5 linked regions of the Cricetulus griseus genome follow. The protein of the gene in region 1 purifies or fractionates together with the protein of each later gene. This does not show direct contact. Links are inferred from orthologs where the notes say so. Each region holds a gene or a part of one and is shown on either strand. Other genes may lie near its edges. The genes, in order: Arhgef12, Myo6, Gna13, Gipc1 and Vapa.

The links.
Region 2: the proteins of Arhgef12 (region 1) and Myo6 purify together in Homo sapiens (affinity purification with mass spectrometry; 4 studies listed by BioGRID and IntAct, counting the BioPlex papers as one, with this or other methods). This does not show direct contact. The link is inferred for Cricetulus griseus from reciprocal best matches to the Homo sapiens genes ARHGEF12 and MYO6.
Region 3: the proteins of Arhgef12 (region 1) and Gna13 purify together in Homo sapiens (affinity purification with western blotting; 3 studies listed by BioGRID). This does not show direct contact. The link is inferred for Cricetulus griseus from reciprocal best matches to the Homo sapiens genes ARHGEF12 and GNA13.
Region 4: the proteins of Arhgef12 (region 1) and Gipc1 purify together in Homo sapiens (co-immunoprecipitation; 4 studies listed by BioGRID and IntAct, with this or other methods). This does not show direct contact. The link is inferred for Cricetulus griseus from reciprocal best matches to the Homo sapiens genes ARHGEF12 and GIPC1.
Region 5: the proteins of Arhgef12 (region 1) and Vapa purify together in Homo sapiens (affinity purification with mass spectrometry; 5 studies listed by BioGRID and IntAct, counting the BioPlex papers as one, with this or other methods). This does not show direct contact. The link is inferred for Cricetulus griseus from reciprocal best matches to the Homo sapiens genes ARHGEF12 and VAPA.

What each region holds. Positions count from the first base shown.
Region 1 is NC_048597.1:154,669,573-154,675,465, forward strand, and holds part of Arhgef12 (rho guanine nucleotide exchange factor 12), read right to left. Parts: coding exon 5,853-5,893; intron 4,672-5,852; coding exon 4,596-4,671; intron 3,925-4,595; coding exon 3,757-3,924; intron 2,876-3,756; coding exon 2,788-2,875; intron 2,112-2,787; coding exon 2,025-2,111; intron 1,910-2,024; coding exon 1,830-1,909; intron 1,578-1,829; coding exon 1,344-1,577; intron 1-1,343. UniProt on the Homo sapiens protein: May play a role in the regulation of RhoA GTPase by guanine nucleotide-binding alpha-12 (GNA12) and alpha-13 (GNA13). Acts as guanine nucleotide exchange factor (GEF) for RhoA GTPase and may act as GTPase-activating protein (GAP) for GNA12 and GNA13.
Region 2 is NC_048597.1:191,194,486-191,200,378, forward strand, and holds part of Myo6 (unconventional myosin-VI), read left to right. Parts: intron 1-1,342; coding exon 1,343-1,433; intron 1,434-2,101; coding exon 2,102-2,252; intron 2,253-4,227; coding exon 4,228-4,436; intron 4,437-5,868; coding exon 5,869-5,893. UniProt on the Homo sapiens protein: Myosins are actin-based motor molecules with ATPase activity. Unconventional myosins serve in intracellular movements. Myosin 6 is a reverse-direction motor protein that moves towards the minus-end of actin filaments.
Region 3 is NC_048600.1:122,210,130-122,216,504, forward strand, and holds the start of Gna13 (guanine nucleotide-binding protein subunit alpha-13), read left to right. Parts: upstream 1-2,608; coding exon 2,609-2,891; intron 2,892-5,209; coding exon 5,210-5,436; intron 5,437-6,375. UniProt on the Homo sapiens protein: Guanine nucleotide-binding proteins (G proteins) are involved as modulators or transducers in various transmembrane signaling systems.
Region 4 is NC_048596.1:160,759,901-160,766,340, reverse strand, and holds the start of Gipc1 (PDZ domain-containing protein GIPC1), read left to right. Parts: upstream 1-1,994; 5' UTR 1,995-2,120; intron 2,121-6,440. UniProt on the Homo sapiens protein: May be involved in G protein-linked signaling.
Region 5 is NC_048595.1:454,535,501-454,541,148, reverse strand, and holds the end of Vapa (vesicle-associated membrane protein-associated protein A), read left to right. Parts: intron 1-2,599; coding exon 2,600-2,773; intron 2,774-3,521; coding exon 3,522-3,680; 3' UTR 3,681-4,283; downstream 4,284-5,648. UniProt on the Homo sapiens protein: Endoplasmic reticulum (ER)-anchored protein that mediates the formation of contact sites between the ER and endosomes via interaction with FFAT motif-containing proteins such as STARD3 or WDR44.

The sequences.
Region 1 (5,893 bases):
AGGTGTGCACCACTACACCCAGCCTACATAATCATTTTTGTCTTGAAAAATGCAATCAAAAATATTATCTTCTACACAACACTTAATATTAAACTACACCTGACCAGAGATAAGCATCCTGAATAGCAAGACACTCTTATGTTAAAGGCCTAAATACTTTGCTAGCTACGCCAGCAAAGCTAAATGTTACGCTTTTTCTTCTCTAGAGTAGATTCTGTACGTCTAGACATTATTTTTTTTAATAATCTTCCTTAATAGTGAAGACAATAAAATTGTATAATAAACTTAAATTCCAATGATTTAGTAGTAGCATATGTAAGTTCAAAGGGAATATTCACTAGTTTTTAAAAATTACCTCACTAGATCCCCTTTCCTTTGCCCTCACAGCCACAGAAGTCAATTGTTCTAAGTACTGGGTGACTCTGTACTTCCTTGGTACATATTCTAACCCTTTTAGCCTTGAGCCTAAAGAACTGTAATAGCTGACTTAGTAAGGGCACTCCAGGCCTCTTTCCATCCAAATTCCTGAGTAGCTCTCAGCCAGATTAGTAAGTTTTTGTCTGTCATACTTAGCTATAAAACCTCACATGGTCCTCTGTAGCTACTATTCTTGAACTTTATCCACCTCACTGTACCTGAGAGATGTGCTATCTTTACATGTGCAATTGTCGTTTCCAACATGGCTGGAGCTAGGGAGGGGCAGCTAACAGAGGCTAGAAGCTATTGTGAAGAACATTAAATCTCCACACAAAACGTAAAACGTGTAATTTGGAAAAGCTCCTAAAATTCTGTGATGTGTCTGTCCGTCAAATATGGAGGATGTAACCTGGTATTTAAAATTCACAACAGTGAGTGAGACTCTTAATCCATCTTCAGGATTCCTAAATCTATCATGTACACTCCTCCAATCTATACTGTGTGCAGACCAGTGGTCCACTCACTGTTCTCTGAGCACCCTGTGCTTCCTGCATGCACTTCTCATCTTTCTATTACTTCTGTCTGAGTGGTTCTATTATTCTACACATTCATTCGGATCTTAATCACCCTTCAGGATGACAAGCACATCTGTCTTTCTCTGCTGCTTCCCTTCTCTGACCACACCAACCTGGACAGATTTGACAAAAAAGCCTTATTACTCCTGGAATGTTTGCTTTGAAAGGTGGCAGGGGGGTGAGGTAAGGTTCTTATCATCTTCCCAACTAGACCATAAATTTCTTGAAGGGAAAAATATCACAGCTCAAACTTTTTCTCATGAAAATCTATTGCTTTTTTCTCTAAAACGCTTTCCAGTAACCACATACTCTGGTACATAGTGTGTGCTACAAGTTAGGAAGAAAACTTACGATTTCTCAGTGCATCCAGTGCCCACCGCTCCTCTGACACAGGCAAGTGTGGATGTGGGACTGGGACTGGGTAACTGCCATCATCTTCCTTCAGTGTCCCATTTGCACACTGCTCCTTTGCAAACTGTGTCGCAGTCACAAAGAGATGCTCTGCCTCTGATTTGCCAGGGGTATTCAGTGAATGAGACTGTGGTTTTGACGAAATTAATGGCGATTCTAATCCCAAAACTCTGTCTGTTCAGAAGAACAGAAAAGGTATAGTCTACCTTAAGGGATATTTCGTTTTCAACATAGAACATTTAGGAAACGATGGGGGTGGGGTTAGCAACATAAGCTACAGAGATCATGTGCCTGGGAAGCCCACAGCACAAAGCAATGCTATACTGCCACACAGAGGGCTCACAGGCAGCATCTGCTAAAGAGTGTGGTTGGTGCCAGCACAGAGCCTATCTATGTCCTCCAGGAAGTCTTGTCTATGCAGCTCACCTGGACTGTGTAGACCAGTGACTGAAAGACCATGGTGCTCCACTTTTAATTTGGATGGTTCTTCTTCGTCATTGTCTCCTCTGTAGAAAACAAACAAACAACCCTCCCCTGAGCTTGGAAAGATGTCCCAACTTCATGGCATTCAAATGAAGAACTATGCATGTCTTCCTGACAGAAGCCCAAGTGCACACTTACTCGCAAGGTGTTGACTGTGGGAGAGGAATTGGCTTTGTGGACTGCTCCTTCACTGATGCAGCCATTCGACAGATGAGGTCCTGCCAGCTTCAGGGATGAAAGGAGTCCAAAATGCAGGAGGAAAGCAGAAACACCCCATAAATACACTCCAGATAAAAAGAGAAAACAAAACCCAAACACCACCATGCTGCCAGAGAACATCTTTATTTTGGCACCACTTCTGTAGAGACTCTAAAATACATTTTAAAGAAAATTCTAACATGAGCACATTACCCATTTAAAAGATTAATTTGGCACTTCTGAGAACTTTTTTTGTAGAAAATTCACTTTAAGTAGAATAAAATAAAAATGAGATCAAGCATCTCAAATGAAGCAAATTCTTAGAGGAATATTCCCAAAAGGGTACAAGAGAAAGTACTTGATTTCTATAGTGGTTTTCAGAATCCTAGTATAAGGTGCAGGCTGGAGAGATGGCTCAGCAGTTAGGGAACCTGCTTGCTCCTCCAGAGGAAGCCATCCACCAGTTTCCAGCACCCTCAGTCAGCTTACAACCACTTGTAACATTAGCTCTAGGGGATCTGACACCCTCTCCTGGCTTCTTCAGGCAACTGTACACATGTGCACACTCACCCACTCACACCCACACACACACTCACACACACAAATAATGAAATAAATCTTAACAAAAAACAAAGTCTGTGGAACATTTATACTTTGAATAACAGAATATCAGTTAGAAAAGGTAATAAAATCTGATACATACACCGTCTTTTCAGAAACTGTCTGTGCTACCAATTCATAAATTTGGGCTCCATTATCTGACATGGAGATGACGAATAAGGCTTTGTTATCTAGAAAAGAAGAAAAGAAAATTTACTTTACCACTATGATCAAGGAAGCCATGAGATATTTCCAGATGCAGATATGAATATTCTGCATCTTAATTTAGATAAATGTTACATATGTCCACTGTGCAAAACTTTATCAAGTTTATAAATTTAAATTTTCTGTAACTCACCACAAGCTACATTATCTGCAACTTAAACGAACTTTATAAAAGTCAACATAGTAATTCATTAGTAACAAAAATAAGTCAAAGTTCATATTACTTGGACTCAGTGAGTTAAAAAAAAAGAAAAAACACATTAAGTTGAGACAGAAAAGTAGGGGAGGGGACAGGGATTGGATTTAACCAAAATTTGACATTATATGCATATATAAAATTCTCAAACAATAAAAAATAATTGGCCTCATAAAAGTTCTGTCTTAATAAAGGTTATGTCCTGCCCAAGTGGAATGTGCTTTGGAGTTCTATCAAGCCTGTAATTCTGAAATTAAAATGCTTATATGAAAAGACACAGACACAGACACACACACACACACACACACACACACACACAGAGTCAAAACACCCATACACACAAAATAATAAAATTAAATAAAACAAACAAATAAATTCACTCACCTCTTCATTTTTCCCAACAAACAAACATACCATTTTAATGACAGCCTTCTCACTGGAGTTACCCTCAAAGTACTCACTACCTTTGCTGGTATCGATCACCAATTTGAACAGAATAAACACAAAAGTAAGTGTATTTAAATTTTCAAATGCAGACAACCACTGAGACAACCTGTCTTACGACAGAACTACTGAAGTCCATTGTGCTGCTTAAGCAACACTTAGTATCCTGTGAATCTAGAAGCTAGCATCCTCAGTAGACACACTCACCTGTTGCCACCTGTCGGACCAACACTGTGCTCAGCTTAATGACTGGACTGAATGTGTGTTTGCTGTCAGCTGTGGATGCCAGAATCTTACTATGGCACCGTAACACCAGTCTGTCATCCTGCTTTTGCAACAGTACAAGAATGTCTTCTAGCAGCAGTGTATAAAGATCTAGAAAAAAAAATGCACACGTCAAGTATTAAGGGTAGAAATTTTAAAATAATGTGAAAAAGGAAATTATTTCTGGAAAACCTAGCTAATCTTAAAAACTGATTTGCAAACTATTTTCTTTTTTTTTTTTTTTAAAGATTTGTTTGTTTGTTATGTATACAGTGTCCTGCCTGTATGTATGCCTGCAGGTCAGAAGAGGGCACCAGATCTGATTACAATGGTTGTGAGCCGCCATGTGGTTGCTGGGAATTGAACTCAGGGCCTCTGGAAGAACAGTCAGTGTTCTTAACTACTAAGCCATCTCTTTAGCCCCCACAACTATCTTCTTTAATTTCATTTTTAATAATTCATTTTAGTATGTTTTGTGGAAATGTCATCTGAGAATTATAAGAATTAAAAAAAATAGTGCTCTCAATGCAAGAACTTAAAAGAAAGATCCATCAGGAGATAAGATGATGGAAATTGAACTGAAGTGAGACAGGTTTCTGCTAAATTCCTAAATGAAATGTTGCATGCTTTACACTTAACAAACACACAAGCAGATCTCCTATAAATGTTCAGATAGTGTGGAACAGCACTGCTAACTGAAAACTGTGAATGATTCTGCTTCCCACCAGTAGATTTTCTTATTCTCTCCATCCTCTCCAAAACTGAAAGGACCACAGACTTACCTATGCTTTTATCTCTATTCACCTTCCAAACCAATGGCCCTTCGTGAATCATCTTTCTTTTTGTTAAATCCAAATTCTGCCAAAGTAAAAAGAACAGTACACAAATTACTTCCAAGACCATTTCATCAATGGGGTTACAGCCAGCATAACTAGTATCTTTTCAAAACAGTTTTAATATGGAAGATATCATTTACATTCAACCATGGTTATGCTACATGTCTTGAAAATGGAACAGTCCATGTTGTAACAGCTTGCACAAAACCTTCTGAAAGAGAAGAATGTTATTGAAAACATTCTCTGCAGACCTTCCTCCAGATGAGTAATAGCTTATGGACGGCATTACAAAGAACCACAACATGCCCTCACTCCTCAGCCACAATAAAGCAGATACAGATGATGTGTGCAAGGCTTCTGAGTTCTAGAATTCTAATACCTAGCACTGAAGCATTTTTCAGCCTCCCAAAAGAAGATTTAAAGGACAGCATCTATTATGAAAATGCCGATTACTGTCTCTGCCAGCAACTTATTTATCAGTAAAAGCTCCATGTTGTAGCATTAGCATCTCAAGGGGAGCTCTCATTCTTTGGCAGGTAAGGGAATACATACAGTAGTGTGTTTTCTGACATAACTATTATAAATGACATAAAGTTTATTTTAAATAGATATCAAATAACTGTAAACTGTCATTTTCTTTTTTTTTAAAGACTTAAGGCTGGGGAATAGTATCATACATCTTTAAAAATCCCAGCTCTTGGGAGGCAGAGACAGGCAGATTTCTGTAAATTCAAGGCCAGCCAAAGCTGACTCAGGAAAAAAAATACTTAATATCCTTCAAAAGTTATTAATACTAAAGCCTAGGCATAAGAAGTAGCAATTCATAAATATTTAACTATTCCTGTATTGGTTTCAACCCTCAGGCTTTTCAAACGTGTCATGGAAAAACTGTCTTTCCTCAGTGATCCAAAAAGTTCTTATAGTGAAGCAGTGAAGTACAGAGCAACTAAAATCTAATAATGAGTAGAGTTCCCAAATCTTCTAACTATTCCTGACACACAGTTACAGCTCTCACAAAAATACTCTTCTAATAAAGATAAAAGTACCCTTGACACATATCAGACATCAACAAGTCATAAATGCAAACAATCTACAACACAGAACTCCTTCAAGGATGGCTACTCCTACTGAGATGTTAATTGCCTGCCAGGTCTTTAGTACATTGTAATTTATGTTTTTAGTTATGATTAGACCATCTCTCACCCTGAGCTCATCAACATTTGGGTACTCAGACAATTTGAGAT
Region 2 (5,893 bases), about 37 Mb from region 1:
GTCTATTTAATTTGAAGTGCTATGTATTGAACTCCGGGCCTTCCAAATGCTAAGCAAGCTACACCCCTGGGTAATGTCTCTCTTTTCTTATTCATGAAATCTCATTAGTTATCAAACTATATGGATTTTTGCCTTTGGATAGTATAACCCATTATTTTCAATGTCAATACCTCAGGGCAACCTCTTTTCATCACTTACACAATAACTTCATTAGCTCCAAAAATTGTTTACTAGCTCCCCACCCCACTTATCTTTTTTAACCCCCAAACTTTCCTAGCCCTCATTCAATAGCTGGCAAAGTTTGAATCCTAGCCATTTTTCCTAGACTGTAGTTGGGGTTTCAGTTCATCTTTGCAGCCTCTCCTGCTCCTCCTCTCTCAGACTCACTCTTCAGTACCCTGGACCAAGCTGAGCTTGAGTGAATTTCTGCCAGGTTGTAGCAGCTACTTACTTCTGGCCTAAAACATGAGTGAGTGGAAATACTTTGGATTACTTGAAGGTCTGTGGTGAAAGTTTAACGTTGGGAGCTGTGTGGGAATCAGTCACCATGCTCCCATACTTACCGGAGTCCTTGAAATAGTGCTGCTTGTGTGGCAGGACTTAGTAGAGAAATCTTCACTAATGGGGGAGTAAAATTTACTTGGTCTAGCACAAAGGAACTAGGCACATTATTATTGAGACCTTTTGTTAGACAATAGTGCATACCCATAAAAAAAAAAAAACAAAACTATGATAAAAAGACACCTTTAATCCCAGCACTCGGGAGGCAGAGGCAGACGGATTTCTGTGAGTTGGAGGCCAACCTGGTCTCCAGAGTGAGTGCCAGGATAGGCTCCAAAGCTACACAGAGAAACCCTGTCTCGAAAAACCAAAAAAAAAAAAAAAAAAAAAAAAAAAAAAAAAGACAACAGAACCTCTTTTCCCATTATTTTCCAAGTAAAATATGAAAGTTTCCCACAGGCTCAGTGCTTTCGGCTTTGTCTATAGTGCATTTCCAGAAGGAAGTAAACTCTGTTTCCTAAACTCATTTGGCAGGTTAACTTTTTAAAGAAAGTTATAATATTTAATAGAACATTTAAGAGAAATATGGCACAGAAAAGTTTGTTAATAGTAGTGTTGCACACTTGAGAATACATTTGAAATAGAGTGCTAGCCACATCCATCTTTTTTTTTTATTATTTTTAAGAAGTTAAAGAAACTTTAGACTTCCTGCCTCTGATCACTGGAATAACATATACATCAAGATTTTATGAGAATTGCTTTGTGGGAATGAATGAGTTTTTAATTTATGTCCTATTTAAACCAATATGTTTCTGTCATTTTATTTCACTCTTACACATAGTGAAAAACAAAATACAATATCGAGCTGAAGCGTGCATTAAAATGCAGAAAACGATTCGAATGTGGCTTTGCAAAAGGAGACACAAACCACGGTAAGATGAACAGTGTCTGAAGATCTATACAAATGGCTTGTTTGTGCTGTGGATTTGGAATCCGCTCATTCGTTACTTAGCTTGCTGTTCTACCACAGGGTTTGAGTGGCTGGCAGACATGTGAACACTTAAAGATTGCAATGAAAGACCGAGAGAGACTGCCATTCTGGTTACTGTATGATTTGAGTTTCTTGATAATGCCAAGTTAGATGCTGTTTTGGAAGACACCCACCAGCCTGGTGGTAATTTCAGGAATGTTCATAAAATAATCTTACTTTGCTGGTGTGTCATTTCACTGAACATATTTCATTTTCATCTTACTTAAAATTTGTATTGCCAGGTTACTTTTTAAACTTTGGAAGTTTGGATAGCTATTGACACCACACCTTTTCAAAGAAATGTTGGATCATTTGAGTTTATAATTTCAATGAATCCTCATTTTTCTGTCTAAATATAGCTGGCCTCCATGTTATTGATGGCCATCAATGCTAATCCTATGTGTATTTGATTCTTTTCATACTTAATGAGAGACCTGAACAGACTACTAAACAATATTGAAGACAGAAGTAGCCTGCCCGTGTAGCCGCAGTGTTCACTGTTTAGCAATGAGAGTCCTCCTAGAACATTAGTTTGTGAGGTAACTAGCTGATGGAGCCTTACTATTGCAGCATTGATGGCCTGGTTAAGGTGGGCACCCTGAAGAAACGACTCGATAAGTTCAATGAAGTAGTAAATGCATTGAAAGATGGGAAGCCAGAGGTGAACAGACAAATCAAAGATCTGGAAATTTCTATTGATGCTTTGATGGCCAAAATTAAGGTGGGTCATTTTCATCTAGCTAACTTGAACTTTTTATATAATTTACTGTTTCTTGTTATTGATATTGAACTTTATGCAGGAAAACACACTTACTTATTCAAGATATGAAACATTAAAAAGTAGATACCCACATTAATTTTTTCTCAATATGTAAAAAATTTTGTATTAAAAAGATAATCTTTATGTGATTTTTTGTTTGTTTGTTTGTTTTTGAGACAGGGTTTCTCTGTGGCTTTGGAGCCTGTCCTGGAACTAGCTCTTGTAGACAAGGCTGGTCTCGAACTCACAGAGATCCGCCTGCCTCTGCCTCCCGAGTGCTGGGATTAAAGGCGTGTGCGCCACCAACACCCGGCTATATGTGATTTTTTTTGTCTGTTGTTAGGCAAAATATTACCCTGTAGAGAGTAACTAAAATACTAAAACTTTGTTGTTAAGCTTTTACAGTCATTATCCAGGGAGGGTTAATGTAAATTAATTCCTTTTATGCTTTTCTACTTTCCAAAACAAATTTTTTTCTATTGTATTTATTTTTCTTTCTGGAGGTGCTGGGTCTTGAGCAAAGTTCATTGAGCATGCCCTTCTACAGAGCTACGTCCTCAGGTCCCGGAAATGAAACTACTAAATTATAAAAGTAATGTGTCAGTGTTGAAAATGGAGCGAAAGTCATCCAACACTCTTTTGTAGCAGCACACTAAGCGTTCAGATAATATGTGTTACCGTTTCCTTTATAATCATACTTTGGACGCATACATTTTTACATAGTTCTCCATCATAATTATGTGTGTCACTTTGTACCTCTGCTGTTAGGATACATGATTTGTTGTGGTTAACACATGACCTTCATAATTTACTTAGCTATTTTAAAAGTAGCACTTAGCTTTCTTCATTTTTAAAGGAGAAAGTGGAGCAATTTTAGGTTTGATTTTTCAATTGCTTGAATATCAATGTGACTAAAAATATTTTCTATAATGCTTGTTACCACATTTCATCTTTATTTCAATTTCCTCAATTATATGTTAGGGTGTTTTACAGGTTTTCTCAAGTAGCACTCAGAAGTCAATGCACTTAAATTAAGCCTTTTGTAGTTCCTGTTGACAGGTTAAATATTAGAGGTAGAAAGAAAAAAATAATGAAGAAAAGGAAGAAAATGCTACAAGTAGATTTTGATTTTACAGATCAAAGGTGAGACTGGCTTCAATCAGAATTAACCCAGGAAAATCATCCAACAGGTTTAGTTGTAATTTCCCAACATTCCTTAGGTACTAATTGAATGGTGTAAGTAAAGAAAGCAAACTGGCTAAAGGAGATAGTCATTCCTTAAAAATATTTTAAAGCTACATTTATACAGCTTTTCTCACAGCCTGCTACTGATATTGATGGCTTGTTTGAGAGGACCTAGACTCAAGTATTTATGTGTGGAGAAGATTTTCAAGGAATATGTGACTAGCTGGACACGATGGTATACACCTATAATCCTAGTGTTTGTGAGGCTCCTGAGCTCCATAGCTAGTTCAAGGATACCCTGGGCTACGGGAAACTGTTTTAAAAAAAAAAAAAAATCTTTTTTTTTTTTTTTTTTTTTTTTTTTTTTTTGAGATAGGGTTTCTCTGTGTAGCTTTGGAGCCTATCCTGGCACTCGCTCTGGAGACCAGGCTGGCCTCGAACTCAGAGAGATCCGCTTGCCTCTGCCTCCCGAGTGCTGGGATTAAAGGCATGCGCCACCAACGCCGGCAAAAAAAAAAGATATTAACATAGTTTTGTTGATCAGTTTTGCCAGCTATTTATATATATCTTAGAGGTTTTTATTATTTATTTTATTTTATTTATTTATTTATTTATTTTTTTTGTGAAAACCCCAAACCATTGAACTTATCATTGTGTCCGTTTTAAAGCGTACAGTTCGGTGGTTTAAGCATATCCACATTGTGCAGAGGAGGTGATTCTTAAGGACATGTTTGTTCTTTGGTTTTTTAAGTCCACCATGATGACAAGGGAACAAATACAGAAAGAGTATGATGCGCTAGTTAAAAGCTCGGAAGATCTCCTCAGTGCACTGCAGAAAAAGAAACAGCAAGAAGAGGAGGCAGAGAGGCTGAGGCGCATTCAAGAGGAGATGGAGAAAGAAAGGAAGAGGCGCGAAGAGGACGAGCAAAGGCGGCGGAAGGAGGAGGAGGAGAGGCGGATGTAAGCCATTTGCAGAGTTCTGACTAGGAGCCTAAGGCTGATAGATGATGGCTGTTCTCAAGCTATGTCCTACTCATATCAGATGATTACCAGCTATGTATTTAATTATCTATCTATATATTTGTTTATTTCTTCATTTATTTATTTATTGTGACAGGGATTCAGAGCTGGTCTGGAACTCCCATCCTCCTGCCACAGCCTTCTGAGTGCGCATTATACTCACATACCAACACGCCTGGTACAAATCAAACAATTTTAGAATGAGTTTGCAAAAAAATTTAATGCTCATTTTATATAGTTACATGAATTTGTTAACTACAGGTTGGGTGTTCCTAATCTGTAACTCTAAAAACTAAGAAGAAAATTTGAAGTCTGAAATTTTTTTATTACGTGTGAGCTTTGTGTGTGTGTGTGTGTGTGTGTGTGTGTGTGTGTGTGTGTGTGTGTGTTCTTTGCCATGGTATGCTTATGGAAATCAGAGAACAGCTTGTGGAGTTGGTTCACTCCTTCATCACATGGGTTTTGGGATTGATAGTATCAGTCTTGGTGGCAAGTGCCTTTATCTGTTGGCCCTAAAGTCTGAAACTTTTTGCGTGAGTGGTATCACAAAAACTTAATTTAATACAATCTAGCTGTATTTTATTCTTTGGCTTCTGGAGACAGGGTCAATTAGCTCTGGCTGACTTCCATTTTTGCTATATAAACCAGGCTGTCCTCAAACTTGTAGCCCTCCTCTTGCCACTGCTTCTTGGTGCTGTGTTTACAGGCATGAGCCACCCTGCCCAGAAAATTTTGTTTTGTAACGTATTAACCATACATATTAATGGGATTCATGTGATGCTAAGATGCATGTGTAGTGTACATTTGACACACCCACCCACCCTTTTCTCCTTCTCCCCATCTCTTCACCTGGCAAGCTCTCTTCAGCATCTCTGGAAATCACTATTCTACTTTTGGATAGAGTTCTCTCTTTTCCTTAAGTTTCCCCATAGGAGAGAACACACGGTTCCTGTGTTTCTTCTAAGTCTGGCTTATTTCCACTTCCACCCATCTTGCTGCAGATGGCAGGATCTCATTCTTCACCCCCTGCTGTGCTCCTGGACTGATTCTACACCCTAGTTATTGTGAATACATGGGCATGCAGTTCACCCTTTCATACACCAACTTTATTTCCTTGGGCTGTGAACTCATCATTACCCAGTTAATATCTGGAAATGCTTTACGTTATGGAAGATGATTGCATTTGTTTTGCTTAAGAATTGTTTAGGGGAGCTAGACTTTATGATATTTGAACCTAGCGGATGATGTGTGTGGTCCGAGGCTGGCTTGGGTTCATCCTGCTCTCTGGTACTTGTTCACTTATAGCTCAAGTTTGTCTCCTGAAAGATTTCTCATAGTTAAAAGTCTGAAGAGTTCTCTCTCCCATTCTCAGGAAACTTGAGATGGAAGCAAAGAGA
Region 3 (6,375 bases), on another chromosome or scaffold:
ATCCTATCTCCTATCTTCCAAGCCACCAATTCCACTTGGCATTTTCATGGGCTCTGGGGGATTAGAACCACAGCCCTCATGCTCGTACAACAGGCACTTTAAACGCCAAGCCTTCTCCCAGCCCCTTCTATCAGTACTTTCACCCTTTTTATGACCGCACAATCTATTGCTTCTATGAATCACACTTTGTTCATCCATTCAGTCACCAACGGGCATTTGGGTGGTTGAGTGTTACGAGTTTATTTTGTTATTAACAGCGCTGCCATGAACATGGATGAATGAGCAGTGTTCTCAGTTCTCTGGGATATATACCTAGGAGTGGGGCTGCTGGGTCACGTGGCGGTTCTACGTTTAACTTTCGAAGAACCACTCAACGGACTCACTTTTTCATGCTTACAAAGGGTCTTGATTACCAGTTAAGAGCAGCAGCCAAACCCCAGGTGGGCCTTTAAAGGTTTCTTTCCAGAAACCCTGATTAGAGCAGCCAGGCTCACCCCAAGCCAAATTCGTTCCAAGGAAAGGTTCCTTCCATTCAGGACTTTGAACAGCCTCTCTGCTGCACTACATGTCCCAACAAGAACTGGCAGGGCAGGAATCCCTTCCTGCCTCCTAGGCATCCTTGCTTTTCCATTATGTTGTGCACACCTCAGGAAAATGTAGGTAGTTAATCTAACGTAGGCACTTCCCTCCTCTGTTTTTGCTAAGGAGTTCATCTTAGAAACTGGCAGTAACTCAGGGGCTTTGTACTACCTGCCTGTCCTGGGTGGAAGCTATTTTCTTCCTGGCTCTAGAACAGGGCACTCCTAACAGGGAGTGGTCAAAGCTATCTAGAGGCTGTCCATTCACTCCCAGCAGGCTTTTGTCTTACATTAGGCCTGACCCTACATCCATGGATGTTGGCTGTGAACTGAGCCCACTTTGCAGATGGTCTACTCTGCAGGCTCAGGTCCACTCTAAAGTTTTGGTGGGTGTAATAGGAAATAATTCCACTCCAGGTATTGTTTATTGCAGCCAGTGTACTGAGTCACGGGCTTCTCAGTCACCAATCCAAATGACAGTAACTGATTGACTTAGTGCTGGTTTTTAGATTTAAACTTGTGCACTGGCCTCTCACTGTGCTGACCTCTTACCCCTGGATCCTTAACACACAGGAAGTTCTCCAGTTGCACGAGCCCAAAACCAGCAGCAAAAAATATTGAGACAAAACCAGACAGGCATCAACCGCCTTTCCCCTTTGAAACTGACAAAGAATGAAGAAGTTGGCTTCTGAGGTCCTTGCTACACACTCACACAGGCAACCCAGCTGTCATTTGTCACGTGTGTCATCAGGAGTCTTTTCAGGTGTCCTGGCCTGATCTGCTGTTATGACAGGAAAAAAAAAAAGTCTCTTGCCAGTCATATCCTCTGTAATCTGGCAGGAAACCTAAAATGTCCTGCCGCAGTCCTATGCTGTAGGCTTATCTGCTTCCTTGGGAAGAACGCGCATCACAGTGTCCGGTTTAGGGGGATTTTCACCATGACCTCACCCTCTCCACCATTCACTGACCTCAGCAGGCATTACCCAAGTCACAAATGAAGCTCGGGTGGGATCCACATTAGCGAGCCAGCCACCAGAGACCTTGCTAGCACATCTCACATGAACAGCATCAACTCTAACTCTTCTCAAACCAGGGCAGGTATCAATAATGCCCTGAACTGCTCCAGAGGGGTGTTGATCAATAAGACATTTGACATCTAGATATCCTTCTAGACTCAGGATGGTAGAATGGCAAGGGAGTCGCTGCTAATTAAATGCGTGGGCTTGGATTAAAGCGCTTGCCTGTAATCCCAGCAGTGGAGAGGTAGGCTGAGGCAGGAGGATTGCCACAAATTTAAGCCAGCTTTTGCTGTACGATGAAATCCTATCTCAAGAGTTAAAATAAGGGGGGGGTGGTGGAGTGGGGGGACAAAATGTGATGAAGGAAGGAGGAGGCACCCAGGAACCTTCCAGGCTTGCGGTGGTCTGTGCGGTAATGTCCCAGCCAATGATCTCAAAATAGGAGGTGACAGCAGGCGGCGGGCGAGTCACTAGGGGAAAGGGCAGTGAGAACTGCAGAGAGAAGGAGTCCCTAAGAGAGTGGCATCGGGATGGGCTCACTCGCCTCGGGGCTCCGGGAAGCGACGGCACTAAAGGGAAACAGAAAGTCCGGCCCGGCAGGCGCGCGCCCAGCCCGGCCCGCGTGACTCGCGGGGGGCTCCGCCTCTCACCGCGCGCGCTCCCGGCCGCAGCCTCCTCGGCCAGCGAGCGGTGGGGGGGCGGAGCGGGACTCGCGCCGGCCTCCCCAGCGCGGCGTGCCTGCGTGCGCGTGCCCGTCGGGCGACGGGGGCGTGCACGCCCGGAGGGCCACCGCCCCTCCCTGGGCCCGCCCTCCCTCCCACCCCTCCCACCCTCCCCCGGCCGGCGCGGCCCGCCCTGGCGAGTCAGTCCTCGGGTTCCCTCCCTCCCCGGGCGCGCTCGGGCCGCCGCTGCGCTCCCCGCCCTCCAGCCGCCTTGCCGGAGCCAGCCGCTGCCGGAGGAGGAGGTGGAGGAGCCGCAGGGGCCCGCCGAGGCGGCGGCGGCGGCGGCAAGATGGCGGACTTCCTGCCGTCGCGCTCCGTGCTGTCCGTGTGCTTCCCGGGCTGCGTGTTGACGAACGGCGAGGCCGAGCAGCAGCGCAAGTCCAAGGAGATCGACAAATGCCTGTCGCGGGAGAAGACCTACGTGAAGCGGCTGGTGAAGATCCTGCTGCTGGGTGCGGGCGAGAGCGGCAAGTCCACCTTCCTGAAGCAGATGCGGATCATCCACGGCCAGGACTTCGACCAGCGCGCGCGCGAGGAGTTCCGCCCCACCATCTACAGCAACGTGATCAAAGGTGCGGGGGCGCGGCGGGGCTCGGGGACCCGGGGACCCCTGGGGAGCCGGGCCGGGCACCGCCCTCACCCGCCGGTCCCAAGTCTGAGGACACTGGATCGGACCAGATCGGACGGGCGAGCCCGCGAGCGAGCGAGCGAGCGGGTGGGCGCGCCTCGGGCGCCGTCCCGTGCGCCGCTGTGCCCTGGCCCCTCAGATCCGGGGCGCCCCGCTGTCCCCCCGTGCTACCCCAGTGAGGGTCACGGTCGGCCCCGCACCCCTCGGCTGGCCTCGCCCCCTCCGAGAGGGAAGTGTGGCGAGCAGGGTGACTCCGGGCAGCAGGGCGACTGGTGTCCTCCCAGCACACCAGACAAGCCCACCCCATCAGCAGCCCCAGGTCCCACACTCTCAACCCCTCCCTCTTCTCCCCGCCACGGGTGGGTGGGTGGGTGACCCTAGAAACCGGCGCAGATACCCTTCCAGCTCTGGGCTTCCTAGGCCACCTCTTGAGTTAAGCAAGTTCTGGAACCGCCGCAATGAGGAAACTTTTTTTTTTTTTTTTTTTTTTTTTGCCCTGAGACTCTTGTCAAGGGCATAGAGTGACAGCCTCTGGGGCCTTTTGGGGCAAGAGGTATGAAACTCAAGGGTGTCGAGTTTACTGAACTAGCATCAGGAGAGCCTATTAAAAAAAAAAAAAAAAAAAAAAAAAAAAAAAAAAAAAAACCTAGCACAAGTGGTTTTATCGCCCCAGTGCTACAGGATGTTTGTACTCAACAGTTCAACATGTTGCTTTCTTTCTCTTTTGCTTAATAACTCGGAGCAGGAGGGGGAATAAAACGGGCAACATTTCTAATACTTAAATGAATGTATGTTTAACTACGAAGACTCTTTGGCTTAAAAGTCATAAGAGACCTACAGAAGTTAGTGAATATGTGTGGTGTTGGATCATGGGCGTTACAAATTCTGTTTGACAATATTTTAAAATTAAAATATTGTTCCTCAGTGAAAAACACACGACATCTTTATTTCCTAGCATTCAAGGAAGTTTTGGAGGTGGCTCTTGTCATTTGAAATATCACCTTTCTTAAAAATTTTTCTTTAGTGTTATGTATCTTCTACATAAAAGACATTGTCAAAACTGAGGCACAGAGCCCTATGTTTTGAGTGATTAAGGAGTCACCCTGTTTTATCTGGGACTTCGAAGCAAACTACGATCGTAGATCTTTTCAGTTGTTATGTGGCTTTATTTTTTTTTAAGTGGGTTTTTTGTTGTTGTTCAGGAAGTACATGAAGCAAACCCCTTCATGTCTCTCCTCCCGCCTCTTCAGGATTTCAAATGGGGAAAAACTAGAGAGGGAGGCATTGTAGGGCAATGAGGGGAGAAGGCTAGGCCAAGAGCTCACAGTCCACGGCTCTTTCTTAGCCTGTACCTCTGCAGTTAAACTGTAAAGAGTGCTTGTATTTAGTCTGCCCTAATGTTTAGCACAAAACTAATTAAGGTCTCTTCTAAGGCTGTAGTGTACCTTGCTAGCCCATAATTGAAGGTACCTTTGTATCCTGATGCAGTTGAACTTAAAGAATTATGTTAATGAATAGACTAAAGTATTCACTGTAAGGTAAACACCTGCTTTTTTGATATATACTGGGCCTAAGAATTACTTTGAGCATTATTGTGTGATCAAGCCTAAGTCTAACTAGGCATCTTATTTTCTTGGGGTGATCAGAAAGTTGAAAGCAAAACAGTTTTTTCATGTATCCCAAGAAAGGACTTCCTAATAGATTGAGACAGAAGTAACAGTTTGGTGCTAAGAGTATTGAGTTTGAATTGACCTAAGTAAGTGGAGACCTCTGTTTGTGTATCATTTTGCAGTTGGTTTGGCTTTTAGGTAACTGTAAAGCCAGCAGGTGACTGTACTGATTTGAAACTGAGTCTGAGAGTGTCCTGGAAGAAAGTATTGGTAGGAGCTGAAGGACTCTGACTGAACACAGTGACTCAGGGCTGGGCAGCATTATTTATTTTTTCCATTTCTGGTTTTGACCTCCTTCCACTTCAGACATGATTTTATGGATGACAGCATATTAAAATCCTTCCAAGAGAGATTTTTGTTATCGATATTTACTTTCCAAGGCTTCTACTTTTAAGACAATGAACAATTGTTTTTTAAACCTCTGAGAAGATAAAGGTTCTGTTTTGATTCTGGTCTCCATTTAGGGAGTGGGGGTTCTGTAATAGCTAAAAAAAATTAAGGAACCAATACTGAATAACACTGGGGTGAAAGGTTGTGATGGTATCTTAATGACTCTTCCTCACATTTTTTTTTTTTTCCTTTTTAAACAAAGGTATGAGGGTGCTGGTAGATGCCCGAGAGAAGCTTCATATTCCCTGGGGAGATAACAAAAACCAGCTCCATGGTGACAAGTTGATGGCATTTGATACCCGTGCCCCCATGGCTGCCCAGGGGATGGTGGAGACTCGAGTTTTTTTGCAGTATCTTCCTGCTATAAAAGCCTTGTGGGATGACAGTGGTATACAGAATGCCTACGACCGGCGCCGGGAATTCCAACTGGTAAGACATTCACTTCTCTAAAATGTTTAATTTATTATTTTTGTTCCTTTGGTGTGTTTTTACTTATATGTGTTTGGGGGGCATCTGCATGCCATAGCATATATGTGGATGTCAGAGGACCACCTGCGGGTATTGGTTCTCCTCTAGCATGTGGGTTATGGGCATAAAACTCAGGTCCTCAGGCTTGGTGGCAAGTGCCTTTACCTGCTGAGCCACCCTAGCTCTGAAGGATACTTTGTTAAACGACTTTTAGTAATGTCTGGTTTAGCCCACTCCATTTCCACTCCACTCCAAACTTCCATGGTGTAATCTGTTCATTCAAAAATGTAGCCTTCAATACTTGGTTTGCTGTGTGTCCCTTTCACTAAGCAAAGGTCAACCCTATAGATTTAATGAAGCTATTTCAGTGGTTAGAAAGTAATGTCATAATGACTTTCTGATGACCTCTTTCTTTTAAGGATAAGTCCAGTGAGTGAGTCTGGTTGTTCACATGTGCTAGTTAGCCTCTGAAGCACTTATTTTATGACAGAGATGAGTTTGATAGGGAGAGATTAGACCCTTTTTTTCTCCTTACTTTGTAGACCAGGCTGGCCTTAAACTTGCAGTGACCCTCATTTCTCTGTCTCCTAAGTGCTAGGATTATAGGCTCGAGTCCCCATGCCCAGCTGAGAGACTACTCTGTAAAATATTTTATAAGAAATGAAATACTGTTTTTGTGTTCTTGTTTCACATGGGAAACAATTTCCATTTGTTTTGCCTCCTTTATCCTAAAAGAGATTATAAAGTACTCCATAGCTCTTAGGTACTGTTGAAGGGTAGGAAAAAAGGATCTAATCCAAGGTAGAGTTATAACATGTGTGGGGCTTGGGGCTCATGCCTATACCCTAAGCTCCTTGTAAGCCAGAAGCAGAAGAATCACAAGTTCCAGGCCTGGGTGAC
Region 4 (6,440 bases), on another chromosome or scaffold:
CAAGTATTTTGTTCCTTGTATTGTTCTTGGATGTCAGAACATAGCTATAGAATCCAGTCTGGTGAAAGGATATGCTGAGAGCTGTCCTGGGTGTACCCTGAATCTGGATATGGCCTTGCCTTGCTTTGTGCTTTCCCAGACATAATTAAAATGAAATTATCTAATGTGCTTAGCAGGAAAAACTTCAAGCCAAGGTAACATTCATGTTGTGGTTAGCTATTATGTTTATTTTGAATTTTTTGATTGCTGAAAAGCAAAGGACAGGGTTTCTCTGAGTAGCTCCTGTCCTGGAACTCACTTTGTAGATCAGGCTGGCCTCAAACTCACAGAGATCCATTTGCCTCTGCCTCATAAGTACTGGGACTGAAGGCGTGTGCCACTACCTCCCAGCCATTTATCTATTATTATAACTAAGAAAAACTATAACTATAATTATCTATCTTCAACTCCATCAAAGACCTGAGAAGGAATAATATTACCTGAATAAGGGCAAGCAAGCGACTTCTTAAAGATACAGGAAATGACAGAAACAGCTGGCTTTCTGGACAGTCACCTCAGGTTTTGTTTTTTGGTTTTTTGGTTTTTTTTTTTTTTTGGTGATGTTGGGGCATCCAATTTTGGCTTATAGGCCTAGAATATCTGACATATCATTTTCCATTGTCAGAAGCAAGAAAATCTGAAGGACTCTCCTAACCTTTCTTGGCAAGGTTCAGCAGTCACTTTTTCTTGTGTCCTGTTTGTCTGGATTGGACAGCATACTTACTGTCAGCAGTCCAGGCAAGGGCAGCTCTTTACCCAATAGGCCAGTTTTGCTAAAAGGGAAACAAACTCCATATGGAGTGACTTCAGTGCCCATCATCCTCTCAGGAGTAGATCAGCTGCCAGGAGCAGATGTGTCTCATGTCAAAAGAATTTTAAATTATCAAAACATTTTAAATGTCATATTCTGTAGGTCTTTGAAGTGTTTGAAGATTACCAACCCATCTAAAAATATATCTCTGTATATCTAGCTAAACCTAACATAACATTAAGTTTGACTATTATAAACTGCATAAACATAGTATCATAAACAAGAGTAGAAATATAAATATAGCATAACAAAATTAACCTTAAGTTTATATCAAGAAAGTAAAATATATAACAATGTAAGTATTTTGGGATTAGCAGTTGTTTGGGGGTTAAGGAGATTCAATAATCTACCCTTTTCCCCATCATACATTTCTATGAGGGAGGAGGAAGGGGAGAAGGAGGAGGAGGAAGTGGAGGAGGAGGAGGCGGCGGAGGAGGAGGAGGAGGGGAGGAGGAGGAGGGGAGGAGGGGAGGAGAGGAGGAGGAGGAGAGGAGGAGGAGGAGGAGGAGGAGGAGGAGGAGGAGGAAACCTGCACTGGTTGGTCACCATCTATGATTCTGCACAGTACTGAACTGACAAGCCGACTGTTTAAACATTCTCCATCGTGTATTCTTACACAGCTTTACTAGCAAAGTGCTCTGTGGCTCTCTGTGCAGCTTCGGAGCCTTTGCACACCCTGTATCTCCATTCATGTGTCTGTAGAGCCAGGACCGAGCCTGGTACCAGGCAGGGGCACTTAAAGATTGAAAGACTGAATGAATGCACGGTTGCTTTGTCTATTGTGTAGAGTGGAAAAAGCAGAGACACCCGGGACCCTCCCTATTCACTATGGCCCACCCCCTGGAGTCAAAGCATCTTTCTGGGAGGGAAGCTGAGCGAGGGTGTGCTCTCGGCCGCCTCTCTGACCTCCCAACGAGCCCGCTTTCCTGGATGCCGAGCGCAGTCCTCCAAACCCGGTCATCTGACTCTTACTGCCAGCTCCCGCCCAGCTCCCCGTCCTCTCACCCGCGCAGCCCCTCAATGGTTCAGCCCGCCGCCATTTAGAACGAGTAAGGTCGGACCACTGCGCGTACAGGGGGGAGACCGAGGTGCGGCGGAGGGATCCCTCAGAGCGTTCCGACGGGAGGCACCCATTGGCCGCCAGTATGGGAGGCCGCCGCTGATTGGTCCGCTCGGGACGCCGGCCCCGCCCAGGTACGGGAGGCCGAGGGAGAAGCCGGGCCGAGTTTCCAGAGGATCGAACTGGGCGCGCGGGGTGGCTGCGGCGCAGGTGAGTGTTCCCCGGCCAGGGGCGGCCTCCCGGGCGTGGAGCCGTGGCGGCGGGGTGGGGCTGGCCGCGTCGGGACCCCAAACACGGACCCTTCCCCTCCGGCCGGGGCCTCCGGTCCGCCCCTGCCCTCTGCTCCCGGGACGCTCCCTGTTGGTGATGGGTCCCGACCCCTCCCGGGCCCCTGCCCAAAAGCTGGCCGCGGGGGCACCGAGGCCGCCGAGTCCGGAAGACAATAACAACCGCAGTAATAGTGCGGACCACCCCCCACCCCCGCCTCGCTAGCCCGGACCCAGCGCTTCCTCGTCAGACGCTTACAGTGCACAACATTGAATCAAAACAGCCTCCTGGGAGGGGCTGTTAACTTCTTTTAGAAGTGAGGGATCAGGGCCAGAGAGGTGGAGTGACTCACTCAAGGTCACACAGCTAGTAAGTGGCCGGTGGGGATGAGGGACCCATGCCTTGAGTCCAGAAACTAGTCCCAGAAGTCGTCCCTGACCAGCCAGCCACCGGACTCACTGCACACGGCCGCCCCCATATTCCCTTCGGAGCCGCACCTGCTGGGTTTTGCTTCCCCGAGCCCACGGGTCACTAAACAGCTTCCAAGTTGCCCTCGTGTCCCTTCTCTTGAGCTGGCCAGGCAAGGCCTGACGTGGGCCCTTTAATCCCATTCCCCCTCCACCCACCCTGTCTACTTACTGCGAAGAGAAATGAGCGAGAGTGAGTGTAGAGGCCGGGGCGGGGGAGCGGGGCAAGAGGTGCGTCCACTCGCCCCGGAAACACTGGAGAGATGAAACCTTTAGGATCCGGTTTTTCAAGAATGAATCAGAGGCCTCCTCCCCTCCTCCCCAAAGTAGTACTGTGCTGGGGGTTAGGAGCGAGGGACGACAGGTGTGGTGTCCCCTAAACTGGGAGTTATCTGAGCCCCAGGAGTCCCCCTCCCTGCTTCCTGCACCTCCCACTTAGCGTTTCTGTGACTGCAGGGTTGCTAAGTTTCTGGCCCTTCTTGGGATGAGAGCGCTGAACTCCGGAAATCCATCCAACCCACTTCCCTTCAGCTCCTTGCAGACAGCGGGGAGGAGCTCGTAGCTCTCTAGCAGTCATGTTGGTGGGGTTTGGTTCACAAGCAGGGTTATAGGACATTCACTCTACAGTTCACCTGCAAGTGCTAAGCAGCCACTGTGCCAGGCACCATGTTTTGCTTGGAGGGAAGTGTCCTCCAAATGCAGGACAGAATTCCCTGCATTCTAGTGGGGAACAGGCAACAAGTTAACATGGGCAGCCACTGCAGATCCTTCTAAGTGCTGAGTGACCTCTCAGAGATCACTGGGCAGGGGGAGATCACACACACACACACCCCAAGGCAGAGTGAAGTATAGAATAGCTGGAACAGGGAATGAAGCTATAGATGTGATTGAGTACCTGGTACAGAAAACACATTTTTTTATTGTCGAGTTTTCCCCTATACGGTGAGATTCCTTTGTGAGATAGGAGATGGTTTGCATTTTAAAATAGAGACACAGGCTGGAAAGACAGCTCACAGACTGCATGCTGGGAGTTCCATTCCCAGCCCCCACATGGTGGGTCACAACCATCTCTAACTAGTTCCTTTTGACCTCTTCAGGCACCCAAGTGATGCACAGGCAGACATGAAGCAAAGCTCTCATACACATAAAATTAAAATAAAATAAATTTTAAAAATGAAGATGCAAGATAAATAGCAGCCGGGACATTGAGAGACAAGCTCTGTCAGGGTAGCACACAGCAAGTTCATAGACCCTAGTACTGTGGTGCAGCTCCTGTGTGCGGGCTGGGCAAGCCAGCTGCCTGGAGAAGTCTGGAATAGGCCTTGCCAGCATAGGAACTGGGATGCTTCTAGGCCAGGGAAGGAAGGATGTGACCAGAATAAAGACTGAAGAAGTTTGGAGGTGCAGGTCAGCAGTACAGCCCCTGCCCCGAACCTGTGGGGGAGGTGTGGGTCGGCAGCAGAGTGCCTTCCAAGCAATGAAAGATTCTAGTTTCTGTCTCCATCACTGCAAATAATAACACGTCCAACACTTTCTGATGAGATTCCGTAAGTACCCAACAGACATAAACTCTGCCAGATTCTCAGGAGATAAAACTGCGGCCTCATGAAGCTAAGCAACTTGGCTTTGTCTGTGCCACTGGTGAGTAGCAAGGGTGGAACTTGAATCCAGGCCATCATCCAGGCCATGTGTCTCAGGGTCTGCATCATTGGTTTATTAGTCACTCATTTTCCTCAGTGCCTTGGGTCTCTCACCAGAGGGCACACAAAAGCTGGACTAAACCACAGCAGTGAATATGTACAGAGACAGAAAGGAGGCTGGGGAACAGGGTATGCGGTGCAGGACAGTGAGGAAAGACAGTGTATCAGCACACACCCCAATAGTATTGCGGGGACTGTCCCAGGCACACACATGCACTCACACACCCCCAATAGTGTTCCAGGAGCAATCCAGGCATATACATGGTTTCCTTTTTGATCAGACGAGTTAAGATATTTGGCCTAAACTGGGCAGTGGTGGCACACGCCTTTGATCCCAGCATTCAGGCAGATCTCTGAGTTTGAGGCCAGCCTGGACTACAGAGTAAGTTCCAGGACAGCCAGGGACTACAGAGTAAACTTAAAACAAATATAGAACAAGGAATGGTGATCAAAAGAGTGTGTACCAAGGAGGTGCTATTGCTCCTGTTCTCTATTGAGTGTGGTGGCATACAATTCCATGTAATTCATTTCAGTTTACTTCTGTGAAATAGCCAGTGAGTGTCTGTAGTATACTGGGATACAGAGCTATGGACAGACAGATGAAAGAACCAGTAAAAGACAAGTGCCCAGAATATATAAAGAGTTCTCACAAATCAATAAGAAAAAGACCATCCAAGTAAGGCTGAATCAGCCAGGTGTAAAGAGGCCTGTTATCCCAGGACATGGGAGGTAGAGGCAGGAGGATCTTGAGTGTGAGGCTTATTCTGTATTGTGCAGGGAGACAGACCCTCCTTGAAAAAGCAGAGCAAAAGAAAACAATGCAGGGCCATGTAGACCATGGAGATGGCGCACTTGGTAAAGTGCTTGCTGTGCCAGCTGAGTTTGACTGTCAGAACCCATGTGAAAATGCTAGGCATGGTGGCTTGCAGCTGTCACCCCAGCACTGGGGACATAAACAGGAAGGCCTATGGGGCCGGCTAGCCTAACTGGAGAGCTCATGCAAAGTGGGGCTGGGGGTATGGGATATAACTTAGTGGTAGAGCCCTTGCCCAGCATATTTGAGGCCCTGAGTTCAATTCCCAGCACAAAAGGGGTGGCACACTGGAGAGATGGCTCAGTGGAGTAAAGACTGCCACCAAGCCTGTAACCTGAGTTTGATTCCTGGTACCTGAATGGTAGAAGGAATGAACTGACCCCCACAACCTCTGTATGCAAATTGTGGCAACACACATGCACACAAATAAATAAATGTGGTCCCCCTCCCCTTTCAGACAGGGTCTCATTTTGCAGTTCTGGTTGTCCTAGAACTTGCTATGTTGGCTAGCCTAACCTCAAAGTAATTTTTTTTAATTTTTATTTTATGTGTTTGGGTATTTCGTCTGCTTGCATGCCTGAGCTCACAGGGCAGAAGAGGGTGTCAGATCCTCCCTGGGACTGGAGTTGGAGGCAATTTTTAGCTGCCATATGGGTTCTGGAATTCGAACCCAGGTTTTTTTTGGAAGAGTAGGCAGTGCTATAACCATTGAGCCACCTTTCCAGCCCCAGTAATTTTTTTTTTTTAAAGCAAAGTGATGACACTTGAGGACCAATACCCAAGGTTGACCTCTAACCTCCACATGCACCCACACATCCATGGGTATGAATGAGCACACGCACAAGGAGCACAGAAAGGGCAGAAGACACGGCTGTGCTTGCTGCTCTAGAGGACCTGAGTTTGGTTCCTAGCACCCATATTGGGCCTTCTGGCCTCTGCAGGCACCTATGCTCAGGTACACACACACACAAGCAGACTCATACCTATACATTTAATACAAAATACAATCTTTTAGAAGGTGGGATGGCTCAGTGGGTAAAGGCACTAACCTCCAAACCTGAAGATCTGGGTTTGACTTCCAGGACCCACATGGTGGAGGAAAAGAAGTAACTCAGGCAGGCTTTTGACTGACAAGTACTCTGAGGCATGCATATAGACACACACAGTAAGTAAATGTAAACAAAATAGTTAGGTTAAAAACAAACCAGGCTGTCCACTAAAAAGCCAATCAGGAGCATTAAAAAAAGAGGTGTTTGGCACCATTGATTTTTTTTTTTTCCCA
Region 5 (5,648 bases), on another chromosome or scaffold:
ACTCTCGTGAGTCCAGGGCTAACCTGGTCTGTATAGCTAGTTCCAGGCTATCTAGGACTGCATGGTGAGACCTGTCAACAAATCTTTTATCTAAATTTTTAATTCTGTTTGGCCTTATATTTGGAATTATTTTTTTGTAATCATGGGCCTAGAGAAACCATGCATTTGCTGTTAGATTAGGAAGAAAAAACATTCAGAGAGCATTGTTGTTCAGATACTTCAATTCACAGATTAAAACTTTAATTCTGACAACATAGCCATACACCGTCTTTATGTATTGACAACCCTTTACTCAACACAGTGATGAAAATGTCCTTTAGTTCCTGTCTTCACAGAATGCATTGCAAATGCTTGTAGATTTGACCTTGACTTTCTATGTGTAGTCCCTAGCTCCTTTCTGATAGCCCCTACAAAGTTAGTACAGTGGAAATCTCTGTGTGGGGCTACCGCAGACAGGCAGAAAGAATACAGTGGTGGAGAATGTATGGCATACAGTCTTGACACTGTAGCCTATTCTCACCCGAGGTGCTAAGGTTGGCTTATTTCATGGTCCTAGTCCCCTGTCTGCTGGGATTAATGGTGAGCATTACACCCCACATTTATTTGGGACTTTAATTTTTTATTTTAAAGTCATTAGAATTCCCCTCTCTCCACTACTAGCTTCATATATATCATTCTGTAGTCAACACTGGGCCAACAGTATGATTTTCTTCTGCATTTTTTGCTCCTGTACTTGGGGTTGAGCCAATGACCATTATGTGTGTGAGGCAAATGCTCTGCTGCCCAGCACTGTCTTCGTTGTTAGGCAACACTTGAGGACTCGTCTGTTGTTGAGTACTGCCTGCCTTACAGAGGGAGGCACATGCTTTCCCCTTTGAAATTCAGGTTGGGTTGTGCAGGATGGGGTATGAAAACTCAGTTTGAAGTGAATTTTAATTATTGTCAAGAAAATAGAGTAAATATTTTAGCAAAATATATCAGGTACAGACTTTTTATACTAGAGATGGACTTGGTTGGACATTAGGGAGATTGCGGTAAAGAACAAATGTCAGCAGGAGAAACTCAGAGCAAATTGAGGTAATTAAGTCTCTTCACACTTGAAAAGTGGGAAATGTGCGGGCAGGTCAGGTAGTCAGGGTTGTGCACTAGAACCCCTTGTTGCCCTCAGAAAGTACTGGCACGGGCAGCTTCAGGAAGAAGACTTGGTTTGAGGAGCAGTGCAGTCTAGCACCAGTAGCTGGTAGTCTGCAGGCAGGAGACAGCGGTGAATGCTGGTGCTCATTGCTCTTCCTTTTTTTTTTTCTGTTGAGGACCCGCCCATGTGACGGTGCCACTCACTCACTCACTCACTCACTCACTCACTCACTCACTCACTCACTCACAATTAGGGTCTGTTGCCCCATCTCGATTAACCCAGTATAGAAAAGAAAGAATTTTGCAGCCCTAGGTGATTCTAGACCTGTCTGGTTGACAGCATTAACACTGTAGTCCCATTGGCCACCAGAGTGGTTCTGCACAGTCTCTGATCCTGGTACAGATGACTGCTGTGTGATGCTGTGAAATGTAATTTGGTAAATGCCTTGATCAGCAGTTTATATCTGCATAAAGCTTGCCCTTTTTATGTATTTATTTGTAGTGTTTATGTCTGTCAGTAGCAAACCCAAGGTCTCCTGCTTGCTATCAGATGCTCTATTACTGACTTAACCTCCTATGTCTTCTAAAAAATTTTAGCAGTTAAAAGTCTAAAATGAAAAAGGTGACTTTATATTGGTGATATTATGGTGTGGGGTGGTATAAATGATATTGGGATGAAGGAAACAGTTTGGACCACAGTCTTAGAAACAATGTTAGTCAGAGGATTAATTTAGACCTTGTAGTTTTGAAAGTTGTCTTAAGTTACTTCTTAAATAGTATACCACAATGAATCACACTAATTGGACAGTTTACTCTTTGAAGGATCATTTGTGCTTAAGACCACAGATAGCTTCCTCCACTCACTGCAGTGATTTGCTTGCTTACTGTTTCAATATTTGTGTCTTTTAGCTCTTTTATTCCATTAGTAGACATTAGGGTTTAGATTGGTTTTGGCTGTATGTTCTTAGGTAGCTGCAAAGTTTATTGGGATGACCATGAGGCTGCCCTGTACCTTCCAATTCTTAAAACCTCATTTGATTGCAGAATCAGACCATTGACAATTGCCTGGAGTTAGCATATTTTCTTAGCCTGACTCTTCTTGGCCAAAGCCTGTGTTTAGGGGTAAATAACAAGAGAGAAATGGCTCTTCTAGCTTTTGCGATTCTGGATGAAAGAATGTAGAATATCAAGTATTATGATACCTTTTAAGTGCTGTGTTAAGGTAAGTACCATGAGTACAGAGGTAGATGAAATAGGCTGCTCATTTTGATTTACCTAACTACTGGTATGTAGTGACATACTCCATTGAAAATTGTCTACAGATGACCTTATTTGAAATAAGTTGAAATTAGTTGAAACTTGTCACATTTAGAGCATTTTTAGAAAAAATGTAGAGTTTAGATTTTTATTAGTTAAAATCCATAAATGTTTTTAGTTAAAGATTCCCAATGTCTTTGAAATACAGAATGATATGGAACCTAGCAAAGCTGTTCCACTGAATGCATCCAAACAAGACGGACCCCTGCCAAAACCGCATAGTGTTTCTCTCAATGATACGGAAACAAGGAAGCTGATGGAAGAGTGTAAGAGACTTCAGGGAGAAATGATGAAGCTGTCAGAAGAAAACCGACACCTGAGAGTAAGTTTTCCTGCTTGAAAATGTGTTAATTGGAATGAAGGTAGAAGAATGACTTATAGAAACTTAACCTTGGGTCTATGTATATGAAACCATTTCAGTAGGAAGGGAGCAGTTCCTTCTTTTACATGGAGTAAGATATTACTAACACAAAGCACAATTATCAGTCTAATTGAGAGCTTCCTGAACCCTGCAATGCAGTCTGTGTGCCATGGTAGCCTTTCACACATATCTTGATGTTGGTGTGATCATATTAAAACTCCATGGTAATGGTATTTCACCCTAAAGTACACCTCTTCTCTAAATCCTTAATATTTTGTCTACTACAAAATAAGTCTGCCATGTGGGTTTCCAAGTTGTAGTGAGTCAGTGATCCTGCCGAGTGTAATGCTTTTGGCTGACCGCTGTAGTCAATTTATGATACCACAGGACGTAATGGAAGTAAGCTTGCATGGTTTGATAGGAATATACTCTTTAACTTGTATTTTAAAAGTCAGTGTTACTGAGGTGTAATTTACATCACATGACTGTAGTTGTTTAGGCAGATTTATAGTTCTTCAGCTGTCACTTTAGTCCAGTTGTAGACTTCTTCACAGTTCCACAGGTTCCCAAGGAAGACTGCAGTTAATTCTCGCTCCTATTCCTAGCCACACACATCTGCTGATCTCCTTTCTGTCTGTAGGAACTTTAGCTTTGACACTCACCTGCATGTGTTACCTGTTTAAAACTGTGATTTGTGTATTTTCCCCAGGATGAAGGCTTAAGACTTAGAAAGGTAGCGCATTCGGACAAACCGGGATCCACCTCAGCTGCACCCTTCAGGGAGAGTGTCACCAGTCCTCTTCCTTCTCTTCTGGTTGTAATCGCAGCCATTTTCATTGGATTCTTTCTAGGGAAATTCATCTTGTAGAGTGAAGCATGCAGAGTGCTAGTTCTTTTTTTTCTCTCGACCAGAAAAAGATTTGTTTACCTACCATTTCATTGGTAGTATGGCCCGCGGTGACCATTTTTTGTGTGTACAGCGTCATATAGGCTTTGCCTTTAATGATCTCTTACGGTTAGAAAACACAATGAAACACACTGTTGGGCCCCTGGACAAATTGTACATTACCAGATCATCACTAGCAGGTGTCAGTTGCACATTCTGTCCTTTATGAGATTCATAAATAAAGAATTGTTCTTTCTTTGTGGTTTTAATAAGAGTTCAAGAATTGTTCAGTCTTGTAAATGTTATTTTAATAATCCCTTTAAATTTTATCTGTTGCTGTTACCTCTTGAAATATGATTTATTTAGATTGCTAATCTCACTCATTCAGGAAATGCCAAGAGGTTTTCTGTGGGGAACTGGTGCCTCTTACTGTGTAAATTTTCTCTTTCCCTTTGCTAATATCATGGCAGAATTTTTCTTATCCCTTGTGAGGAGGCAGTTTGTTGACTGAGTTTTTCATCCTTACGATCCTGTCCCATGGTATTTAACATAAAAAATAAAACTGTTAACAGATTCTTGCTCGGATAGCTTGTTTGTGTCTGCCAAGTCATTAGGGCTGGGCTGGGCTGGGCTGGGCTGGGCTGGGCTGGGCTGGGCTGGCTGGGCTGGGTGGGGTGGGGTGGGCAGGGCAGGGCAGGGCAGGGCAGGGCAGGGCAGGGCAGGGCAGGTTTGGGGTGAGCCAGAAAGTCTACTCTTCAGAAATGGGCCTTTTTAATGCTATATTTTCTCTTGTGTGAAACTCTTCCCAGTACTTCATTACTTGTAACTTAAAGGTTTTGAGACTAAGAAACAAATAGCTACAATTTCAGGCTAATGTAGGTATTTTGGAATACCACAGTTGGTTTTAAGAGATAAAGTGCTATAGAAAGTCAGCTCTGATGACTCTTGTGTGTGCCAGCTGGCTGTTGTTCAGTTCACTCCCTTCTTACCATGGTTTCTTTTCTGTTATTTTGAGACAGCTCTGGAGTCTATCCTGGAACTCCCTCTATAGACCAAGCTGGCCTTGAACTCAGAGAAGATCCACATGCCTCTGCCTCCCAGTGCTGGGGTTAAAGGCGTTCACCATCACTGTCTGACTGAAGGATTTAGTTTTTGAAAATCAAAACTTTTATTTTTGCAAATTAGTCTGTTAACATGTGAAACACAGTTGCATTTCAAAAGAGTGTGTGTGTGTGTGTGTGTGTGTAATTTATTCATACTGATACAAACAATTTTATAATCAGAAAAATATACCGTTTTCAACTGAGTATAGTTTATTACAGGTAAATTTGTATTCTCAAAATAGGTGTTGGTTTTGTAGAAGTTTAATTCTCTTGGAAAAGAAATTGGGTTGCAAGGCTTAATATTCAGTGAAGTAACAAGTCTGCACATTTTATGCAAGAGTGAAGTCTTCTCAAGTGTTAGTTGCCTTTTAATTTCTCAGATTATAATGGCTTATATATAATGTATTGTTATACTCTATGATAACTCTTTTATAAAACTTATGTACCAGTTAACTTGTAGCATGAATAATAAAAACCCAGGGACAGATACTGGGCTTGAAGCTGAAGATCAGAGAAGCAAAGCAGCCAGCTACTAGAGAGTTCTAATCTATCGATGCTCAGACCAAAGGGTCGATCCATGGAACCTTAGATTGCATCTCCTGACTGCACTGCTCTCCACCAAGCCTCAGAATCCTAGGCTCCCCCCCCCCCCCCCCCCCCCCCCCCCCCCGCTGCAAAGAGCTCCCTAGTGCTGGGATTAAAGGTGTGAGCTGTTTCTCTTTTAGACTGATCGACTCTAACGTAGTCCTGGGTAGCCTTGAACTCCCAGAAGTCCATCAGCCTCCTGAGTCCTGGGATTAAAGGTGTGGTCACCACTGCCTATCCTTTATTGCTGTGGCTTGCTTTG